2 linked regions of the Drosophila melanogaster genome follow. The protein of the gene in region 2 purifies or fractionates together with the protein of the main gene of each other region. This does not show direct contact. Each region holds a gene or a part of one and is shown on either strand. Other genes may lie near its edges. The genes, in order: Fas1 and apolpp.

Region 1 (5,067 bases), on a different chromosome or scaffold from region 2:
CTCTCCTAAACTCGGTGGTTTGCCATGCAAAACCACAAGCCGTAAGCCGTAAGCCGCAAACCAAAACAGGCAACCTACATTTATCTAAGCCATCAGCATGTAATGAGAAGTGCAGGCACCAGAGTAAAGAAGCCCGACTTCGACTTTAGAAGATGGAGATACCCTTTTGAACCAGTCTTGTCTACATTTTAAATACAACTGAGAAAATATATAAATCGCAAAATTTAAAAAGGGGATTGGATTGAAAGCAGCTACCTGCAATACGACATATTATTAATAAAATGATTATTTCATAGTCTTAAGAAGTAACTTTAAAAGGGATTTCCCAAGCCTGACTTTTTGATCCATTAGTTTTACGGCACTTAATTTGCATAAATGCCAGAAGATTACTTTCCGCCCTTACTTTTTTATGGCGACCAAATGGTCCCACCCTCATGTATAGCAGTACTCCAGATATGAGGCCGGAAATGCTTTGCTCCGAAAGTGGCAAACTTCTGGGCAAAGTTACAATGCCCTAAAGCAAGGGTGCAAGTGAGCAAGCCGAGTCCCCCTTCTTGTTTTTAATTTTTTTTAGTTGTACGCTCTGTTTCGCCTATTGTAACTCGAAAAGGTTGCCTTTTCTGTGTGGATGCAACTACTTCCCTGAGACACTTGCTGCAACAATTACAGTCTGTCACACGCTTTCTTTTTACTTGGAAGTCTAATTTACTTTTGAAGCAGCGTGTATTTCGGGTGTTAAATGCAGTGTTAAGGCAGACTAGAAAATTAAGCAGGGACTCAAGTCAGTTACTTAAAAACGCGTATTCAACTACTACTTCACCTACTATATAAGATAAAAGCAATTACAATAGACGAACTATGTTACTATTTTCCACTCAAATCAATTCTATTTTTTGAGTATAAGTTATGTGGCTTAATGGGCTACCATAAACCTTAACATATTAAAAAAATATATATATATTTCTCCTGGTGTAATGCTAATACCCCTTCTGGTGACTGAACCCCCGCCTTTGAATTCATTACACATGTTGTTCTTGTTATTTCAGCCGCGCACCTTTGTTGGCTTCTGAGTTTTTTACACATTAATGTGTTTTTGTTTTCTATGTACTTTGTATGTGAGTTGGCCTGTGAAGGTGTAAAAAGGCAAAACTAAATATAAAACTGTTATGCGCAGTGGACGTCAACGGCCGGCGTTTTTTCTACCATTTGCCTTTTGCTGGGGAGAGCCAATTCAGCAGACCTGGGCTTAATTTATGTGGCTTTTCATTTTTACATAACGAACTCCGCCATGCATACGAAATGTGGCCAAGTGGAGCTTAGCGGTCGGCTGGACCTGAACTGCCGCCAGGGATTTTAGGCAGCATCATCGATTTTCCGCAGTCCAACAACAAGTGAGATGGCTAAAGGTCAAGGACGATGCTGCCGGAACGAAGGCTACGCTACCTGTGCCCAAATGCGGGTGCGTCCCTCTTGCGCAGGCTCCTTTTTCCCGCCCGATCTGCCCCGCCTCCTCGCACACTCCACCAAGGCTTTTCCTTTCAAGGCCAACGAATTGGGGCGGCGTCTTGTGGGTGGTGGCACAATTACAGCCGAACTTTGATAAGTTGCCACTATTAGGTGGCAAGGTAAATTTATTGACTTCGCCAAAGCCAAGTCAGGCATAATAAAAAATTGATTTTATCATTGCAATAAGGTATCCGACCATGAGAAGAAATTAAGGCATCACAGAAATATATGAAACATATTCAAAAGGCTGAAAAAATTATTTAAACGCATAAATGTCTGCTAAAAATAGTTTGTTTTTTGCTCACACAAAAGTTATTTTAATTTTGGCAGTTTCCCTGGCTACAGAAAAAATGCGACTGATTACTGTATAAAATGTAGGCAGTTAAGAAATACTTTTCCAACGAAATGATATATTAGACTAATAAAAGCCCCTGAATGTGTTCAAATTTTACATGTTGCGCGTACGGATACCTAAACAAACATACTTTTGACAAATATTCGAAGTGTAACTCTTCGCATTAATTTAATCGGTTGCAAAGATAGAAAAGGATTACTAATGTTCATGGCAGGCAATCCCTACTGTACCCAAGGGTGAGCGGGGGGAGGGGGGGCGACGTTTGGTGGGTGGTGCTGGGGGCTTAATTGACTACGGACAAGTGTTTCGGTTATTTGCACCAACTGTTTCTGCTGCTACTGCTTTTCTTCGTGCTCTTACTCTACCACCTCCTTTCACCTCCTCATCCTCCACGTTCTCGTTATTCGCTTCTTCTTCTTCTTCTGACTCACCTGAGAGAGTTCCGAATCATCGCGCAATTTGTCCGCCAAATCGGCGGCGGCGGCTGCGTTCGCGGCGCAGAGCAGCGCCAAAAGCAGCGCTGCAGCGTTCAGCATTTTAGCGGACGAGCAGCAGCAGCAACAACAACCACAACAGCACTTGTTTATGCGCTGGCAGTGTACGTCGTTTGTGAGTGTGGCTGTGTGTGCTGTTTTGCGGGGGGCGTGTGCTGGTGTGAGTGCTGCTCTACGATTAAGATCTGCAATTCAAAGGCAAACAACAGTTAGCCGACGACAAACAGCATTTCCTCGGAAAAGAAAATATTATTTCACAGATATATGCTTGGCATGCTTTTTGTCCTCCTTGGTATTTTCTTTGTTTTTGCAAGGTTATCGCTGCTTCCTGTTCGCTTTTGCCCAGAGTTCCGTTATGTCACATAGAACAACAAGCGAAAAACGGACCACCGAGGAATCGGCAAGCACAACACAAACGCAATTTAACTAGAAACAAAGCTGCGCTTATTGTGTATTATTTTTTCTTCATTCCGTCGCTGTGTGTTTAATTATTATGCGCCTTTGCATTTCGCTGCTGCGGCACTTTTTTCTGTTTTCGATTTTATAGTTTTCTCTCTGGTCTTTATTCTGCGTAATTCTCGGAAACTCGGGCTGCAGGAATTAACATTAACGGCCGCCGCAGAAATTATGCAATGTCCACGGACCAAACTTGGAAAACACACAAATTCTTTAAGTAGCACACACAAACGAACGCAGCGCGGTGGTAAATCAATAGCAAGGGCAGCGAAATGGGCCGTGCAGCTATTTTAGAGTTATGCCCTATGCACAGTATAGATTTTCCACAGAGTTTCAATATAAGGGGAGCAAGTACCAGTCGGAGGAATCGCAACGTGCGCCACGCTCGAACGTTTTTTTCGAATTAAAACGAAAAGCGGAGAACAGGTTTAAGCCGAGCGTGTGGTGACGATAACGAGTGTTATCGATAGCTGTCGATGTTTCAAATCGCAACACTGTGCACTGTTAATAAATCGCTTAACATTTATATTTATTTGTGCATGTCTTTGGCGGTGACTCTTATTTATGTGCTTTTTATGCTTTTCCGAATCTTGTTAGAGGTAAAATATTAGTACAAATCGAGCGCTGCGTTGCTCTTCTGTGTCAGATTTATAATAATGTCTGTTTATCCAATCTTATTATTATTACAAGAAGACTGCTTTAAATTTTCTCATTTTTCGTTTAAAAGCATAAATAATCATTTTAACCGTTTCGCAAAATGTGGCAACGACAGAATGCGGTGGATAACTCCGCTAAGCAGAGTCTCTACTGTTTGAAAGATTTTATTCCAAATTGAACCGGTTATAATTTTCAAGCACTTATTTTTTTACTTTTCTAAGGAGATAACATTGAATTTTAACAAGCAGTGTACCTATTTGGTTCTTCTTACTTTAAGTAAATGGTAAAAGTCTTCGATAAACCACGCCGTTACTAAGCAACTTGCCACCAGCAACGCTTGTTTGCTATTGAAATCAAATTAATATCATTATCAGTTTTGACAATACCATTGCAAAGACCGAATTCAGAAAGCCAATAACGATGACTGACCAAAGCGAGCTGGATCAGTTGGCAACTGCCGAGCTGCAGAGGCTGCAACGCCAGCATCGGGGTCTCCAGCTGGACCTTCGGGGTCTCCTCGAGGAGAAGGCCAAGCGCCTGAAGAAGCAGAATCACATGATCAACGTACTGCAAGTGGAGCACCAGAAGCTGAAGGAGGAGATCAAGACTCTAGAAGGTGGTACTCATGCGCGAAAGAACACCAATGTAGATATCCACTTAATGGACTAGTCAGCCACATATAAAAGGTTTACATCGGTTTCAGAGAGAGAAGCACCTGGGCACTTTGCAGGAACAGCAGGCGGATTTGCAGAGGGTGCTCCAGAATGAGCGAACCAATCTCTGGGAACTGGAGGGCCACATCCGGAAAATGGAAAAGGAGATTGATGCCCTGCGGCGCAACGAAGTGCCCGACAACTGCTACAAGGACACCATCTGCAAGGTGCAGAAGAGCGTGGTCAAGTTGGAGAACCGCCTGGATGTCGTCAACAAAAAATGCAGCGATGTGCTCACTGAAAACAGCAAGATGAGGGACGCCATAAACCACATGTTGCAGGATCGGTGAGCATTTCTCGCTAGATATATACAATCTATAAAATACACACTAGGTTTATGAAAAGTCAACTAGGTGCTCTCCATATTATTAGGTTTTTATACCGAATTGAGCTAATGCGTTTCGACTCCACTCCAGGGCAAACTTCAATGACATGTGGCAGTCGATGGTAACCCAGTTTAACGAGGGCAAGAAGTTCATCATGGATCTCATAGACCAGTCGACACTGGCTTTCGACCAGAGAGAAGAGCTGTGCAACAAGCTGACCGTCCTAAAGGATCGCAACGAGAACGACAAGGTAATGCACATCCAGGAGATGCGCGAGATGCAGCGCCGCCTGGAGCACGACGCCAAGTTGCAGAAGTTCTTCGACATCAAGGGACAAAAGCGCCTCAATCCGGAGCTGGAGCAGCGCGAGCTGGACAAGAAGCAGAGTCAGAAGGAGACCTACGAGAGGCAGCTTCTGGAGTACAAGGAGATCATCGAGAAGATCAAGTTGCTCTACGGCGAGGAGGACGCGGACCGACTGGTGGCCCAGTTCAAGCGTCAGGAGGACGAGAACTTTGCCCTTTTCAACTATGTAAACGAACTGAGTCACGAGGTTGAAG
Region 2 (5,122 bases):
AATGTATATACATTAACATATTTCAAGTTAACTAAAAGTTCAATGGAAAAAACTGCCTACGTTCGTAAGTCATTTAATTATTCTTCAGCTTTGCTGATTGCATATCTTAATTTTTGTCGTGCACTTCTATTAGATGAATAAGATTGTTTATCAGACAGAAATATACTCCAGAGTAATGAACTTCAGATTTTGTGTACCTTGCCTGTGGCATCATGCTGCATCGCATATTGGTTTGCATATATTTGTAAAGGATTCGTTGTCTGGTTATTTTGTAAATAATCAATTGGTTTGTTGAATTCCAAAGTGGCGTGACGAAGCTCACTGTATGAAGAACTCACAGCGCTCTCTGGACTAGGTGGTGGCGGTAACTCATCTTTTTCGTTGTCTGAAATAAAATTAGTGCAGACGGATAGCATCTTTTGCGTTGAGCTATGAGAAGAGTCCATTGCTTTGACATTTAAATTATTTTATAATTAATACTATACAATTTTTATATAAGCATTACATAAACATACCAGTTTCATTAACGTTTGAATATGTACTCGCAGAAATCTTAGTTTCGTCTGTTAATAGTTCTAATGTTTCTATTTCTTTGCGAACAGAACCTAAATTAGAATATATTAAGCTTTTGCTTAAAGTCTTTGAAAGGGGCTTTGTAAAGCTGTTGAGAGGTTGTGTTGGCTTAGCTTGTACTCCCAAAAGACCCTTTTTTTCCATTTGAAGTTTATGGTAAGCAAGAGCTTCTAATTGCTGTTCCAAAATTGCCGGATTATCTAAAGTTGTTTTTCTGTTTATTTGAGTATCAGCAACTCCGAATTCAGAGCTGAGGTATTTTCTAAAAGGCATATGCCCCCTCATTGTTTTCTCGACTCCAATCAGAGGTTGTGAATATAGTGGTTCCCGCGAACACAAAACCTGTCTGCTTGATGGAACCTGAAATAAATAAATATTTATGCTTAAGTATACGTTATTATACACAGTTTTTCAGAATAATAACTTTTTATAATACAGGGTATAATAAGGGTATTATAAATAAAAACTAAGATGTGACATGCAGATTTTAATGACTTTGTACGCTGTGCAAAGTTCTAAATATTGCCACAGTTTGCACAGTTTGGTTTTTACCGAAGTGAAAAAGGCATGCGATAGATATTTAGGTACTGGTACAGTTAAGAATATCCCCTAAATTTACATATGTATACTTAAAACAATATTTACTTAAAAATTGATTATGTTTTTTTTAATGAATTGCTCCTGATATGTCGTGTAACAATCCATTAGTCTGTACTTGTTTTTGATTTCTGTCATCTGAATGGTAGCAAATGTTCGCTCACAGTCCAGCCGATCAATAATATATAAGTATATTACATATGCTTTTGTAGAGGGACGGAAATACCCTCTAAAACGGTACAATAACGGACTTTAAGGCTTAAAGAACAAGCCTTTGAGGAGAATCAATGAATTGCTTTGTATATAACACAAACTGGCTATACTAAAGTATGTATGTACCTGAGGCATTTCATTATATTTTATCGGCGGCTTAGGAGGTATATCCAATCTCCTCTTTACTGATGCATTTTGATTATTACTTATCTTGGCGACTAGCTTCGCAACTTTTCCATGTCCAATACATACAAGCGGTGAGCCTGTGTCACCTTTTGGAAGCGACAGCTCTCTAAGTTGCTGGGCCACAGACTCCATTGAAATTTAACAAAACGCGATTCCGTTTTCCTACAACAATAATAAAAACCTTTTTCTAATTTAAATTAAATCAAACATTCAAAGTCGTGAAATTTTAATTTAATATTTTCACTCCTTAACATTAATGAAATTACACCTGTAATGATGATAGTTTGGTTTGTTTTTAACCTGCATATAATTTTACTATATGTATAAAACAATTATTTTTATAAAATTATTGACATTTCAATACTAAGTGGAAATAAAACTATCGCTTATCGAATTTATGAGGCCCAGCAGTGTGACCTTAACACGAGAGCTAGAAAATCATTCTAGGCGCATAGGCTCGTATTCGAACTTATTAAATATGTAGTACTCACTTCGTACAATCGCTTTATATCTCGAAAGCTAATAAGACCATAGACACACTTAAGCGAGATATTGAAGCTAAATCCATATAAAACATATATATGTAGTTTTGCCTAAACGGCACCTTGGCAATCAAAGAAAATAATCCTAATCTGATTATAGGCGGACTATAAGTCAATGTAAGGTATTGAGAGAACTAATTGTTTGATTGAGACTACTTTAGTACGATAGAATAAATGAATAGAGTGTGAACAAATTCATGCCAAAGGACTTTAATTATTACATAAACATTAAACCGTGCGTTGAAACAATATTGTTATGTATTTTTATTTATAAATCTTAAAATATCAACGAAAAATTCGCCAAAAACATCGATGTCCACCAACATCGATGTTTCTCCACCTCTAACCTAAGTCCTAGAATCGAACTAATCCCAAGTGGGTAACGTGTACATTTTGTTTATTTTAGCAGGTATAGTCACTCCAACGAACAATCGGACACGTGCACTCTTATATAAGATGTGTCTCAAAGTGTCAGTCTGTATGACCTTCCCTGTAAGCGTATAGATCTCAGGAACTATAAGCTAAAAAGTTAAGATTAAGAATGCGTACTGCAGAGACATACGCGCAGAGCCAGTTTGCTTTCATGCCCGCTCTAACGCAGATGTACAAACCGCACAAAATTGCTACACCCATACCTTTCAAAAATATTTGTTTTTTTTATTATATATTTTTCTAATTTCTATCGGTTAACCAATAACATTTTGGCCACGCCCCACAAACCCTCCGAAAACTCCCACGCCCACACACTTTTGAGGAATAATTTTATTTGCATGGATTATATAATTTATTTTGCCTAGCGATGTACCCCAACGCCACCTTTCCAATCCGTCACGAATACATTTATGATATATTTCGATTTATTTATTAATATTTTTTTTTTTAATTTTTTATCGAAATGCCGATAAATAAGGAAATATTTTGCTCTTCCGTTTGTCGAGTAAGGGATATCTGACTGTCGGGGAACTTGACTATAGCTGTCACTGGAAAACTTTATGGGAAAGTTTCATTCAGGGATAATTAGTGAGACAAGTTTGTGTAGAAGCGAACGGATGGCAAAACAGACGATGAACGGCGATATCGACTCCACCGCTTTCCAGAAACTGATCAATAATTGATAAACCCCTGAACAAATTTTTAACTCAAATTTTTATAATATTTCCTTTGGGCCCAAACAAAACAAATGGCTGTCATGTAGGTGGCTTCCGATAAATTCGCTCACTCGACCACTGTTATTAAAAATATTTATAAGTTAACTTTATGAAATAAATCTCGTTTCAACATCATCCGAAATTGCATTTTTGTTCTTCTCCCAGACAAAGGAATTTTAAAATAAATTAAATCTGGTGCGGCTCTTTCAATTTATTTTTTCGTGATATTTGGTTCAGCTAATTTGCTAATAAATGTAAATGTAAATGCGAAGTCATATTACTTCATATTCAAGAAGAAAATTCTGTTCTCTTCTTATCTTCATGTAAGAAATTCACATTAAATACCGTGGAGGTCTGAATATAAATATTAATTTCATTGAATAAAGTTCCTCGTTAATATAAAAATGATTGCAAACCACAGTTGCTTGTAAATAAGTACCATAACGATATCCATATTTTTGAACACCACACCCAATCGTCTAATTGTTTGGCCCAATCGAAGCGAAATTAAGCTCGGTGGAGGAGTATTGTAAAGGATAGGGGAATGACCGATTTCTAAGGAGCCACATAATTAGGAGCCAAAATAATTATTAATTAATCAAATACCTTTTTAGTCAAGTGGTATAAAAACCCTAAATATGGGAAATCTATCATGAAAGGTGCACTTTTAAAAGGAAGCTGACTTGGAATCACTTCACATATGTACGGCCATAGAGCTCAATTCATCAGCGGAATCTTTTCAGAAAATGTGGGCACGGTAATCTAACTTTTTAATGGTTAAAGAAAAAAGATTTAAATGGTTGTAATCAGACAATCGTAACTGACATCCTATTCTACGCTTCTAAACAGTGGTCTCCTGCTGTCACAACGCACTATTAGTGATCATCTTCAAAGCGTGGACTTCCGTTTACGATGATTTATTTACTAACCGGGAACAATACAAGAGTAAACTTCTTTCGAACTGTAATTTTTTCTGTCCGATCACGCAGGCTGCCTTTCTGCGTGCTTATCGAGCAGCGTTTTGCTTTCCAGCAACTTTTAATTACAGATTAAAGTTTCTTATCAGTCGTTAACTGCAATTCAGGAACGAACTTTCATATAAACATATTTTATACATCTGTTCAAAATCAAATAAATATACATGTGTAAATATGTGTATGCATATTTTAAATACCTATGTACCTATGCTTGCATTTGTAAGCATACTTTCATCTATATGAAAAAAGGGCATAAAAATGTATAACAAATTCCATTACAGATGTGTGCAAACATGGATTGCAAGTGACAATCTCTGCAAATGCATATATGTATGTATGTATGTGTGTACTTGCGCATTCACATTAAATTTGGAATGATAACAATTGTTACATCGAATTTCTCAATACCTATACATAAAACATAATTGCTTTAGAGTTACAACTAGTTTTCTTATTTGCACATACAGTTTGTCAAGAAACTGTTTACACACTGTGAAATAAGTTGAATTTTTGACTTTAAAGGTAAAAACTAAGGGTTCTTTGCTTAAATTAAACGCAATTTTTTTCTAAAATATAATTAATCAATATTTATTTTACTTATGAATCAAAAAACGAATTAAAAATATTAATTATACAAGAAAATAAACAACAAATTCCAAGTTTACACACTTTTGAGACTGTCAAGTATATAAATATCAGTTTTCAACATTTATAATCACAATTATACTTTGCATTTCTTACAGTTTTCAACACCTTTAAGAGGAAAACGTAATTTGCGATTTGTTTATTACTTTATTAGCCCAAAGCCATATTTAAAATATTGAAAAGGTAGATGAAAGGATTTTGTACTACTAAAGTAATAGAGTGATTCGAACAATATTTGCTT

What was found.
Region 1: the proteins of apolpp (region 2) and Fas1 fractionate together in Drosophila melanogaster (co-fractionation; one study listed by BioGRID). This does not show direct contact.

What each region holds. Positions count from the first base shown.
Region 1 is NT_033777.3:16,623,442-16,628,508, reverse strand, and holds the start of Fas1 (fasciclin 1), read right to left. Parts: upstream 3,272-5,067; 5' UTR 3,167-3,271; intron 2,541-3,166; 5' UTR 2,398-2,540; coding exon 2,293-2,397; intron 1-2,292. Other genes in the region: Ccdc114 (Coiled-coil domain containing protein 114), read left to right, coding at 3,889-4,113, 4,172-4,467, 4,598-5,067. UniProt on the Drosophila melanogaster protein: Neural cell adhesion molecule.
Region 2 is NC_004353.4:1,058,904-1,064,025, forward strand, and holds the start of apolpp (apolipophorin), read left to right. Parts: upstream 1-2,065; 5' UTR 2,066-2,233; intron 2,234-3,774; exon of another isoform or gene 3,775-4,016; intron 4,017-5,122. Other genes in the region: Zyx (zyxin), read right to left, coding at 198-448, 516-933, 1,510-1,701. UniProt on the Drosophila melanogaster protein: Constitutes the major component of lipophorin, which mediates transport for various types of lipids in hemolymph. Acts by forming lipoprotein particles that bind lipoproteins and lipids.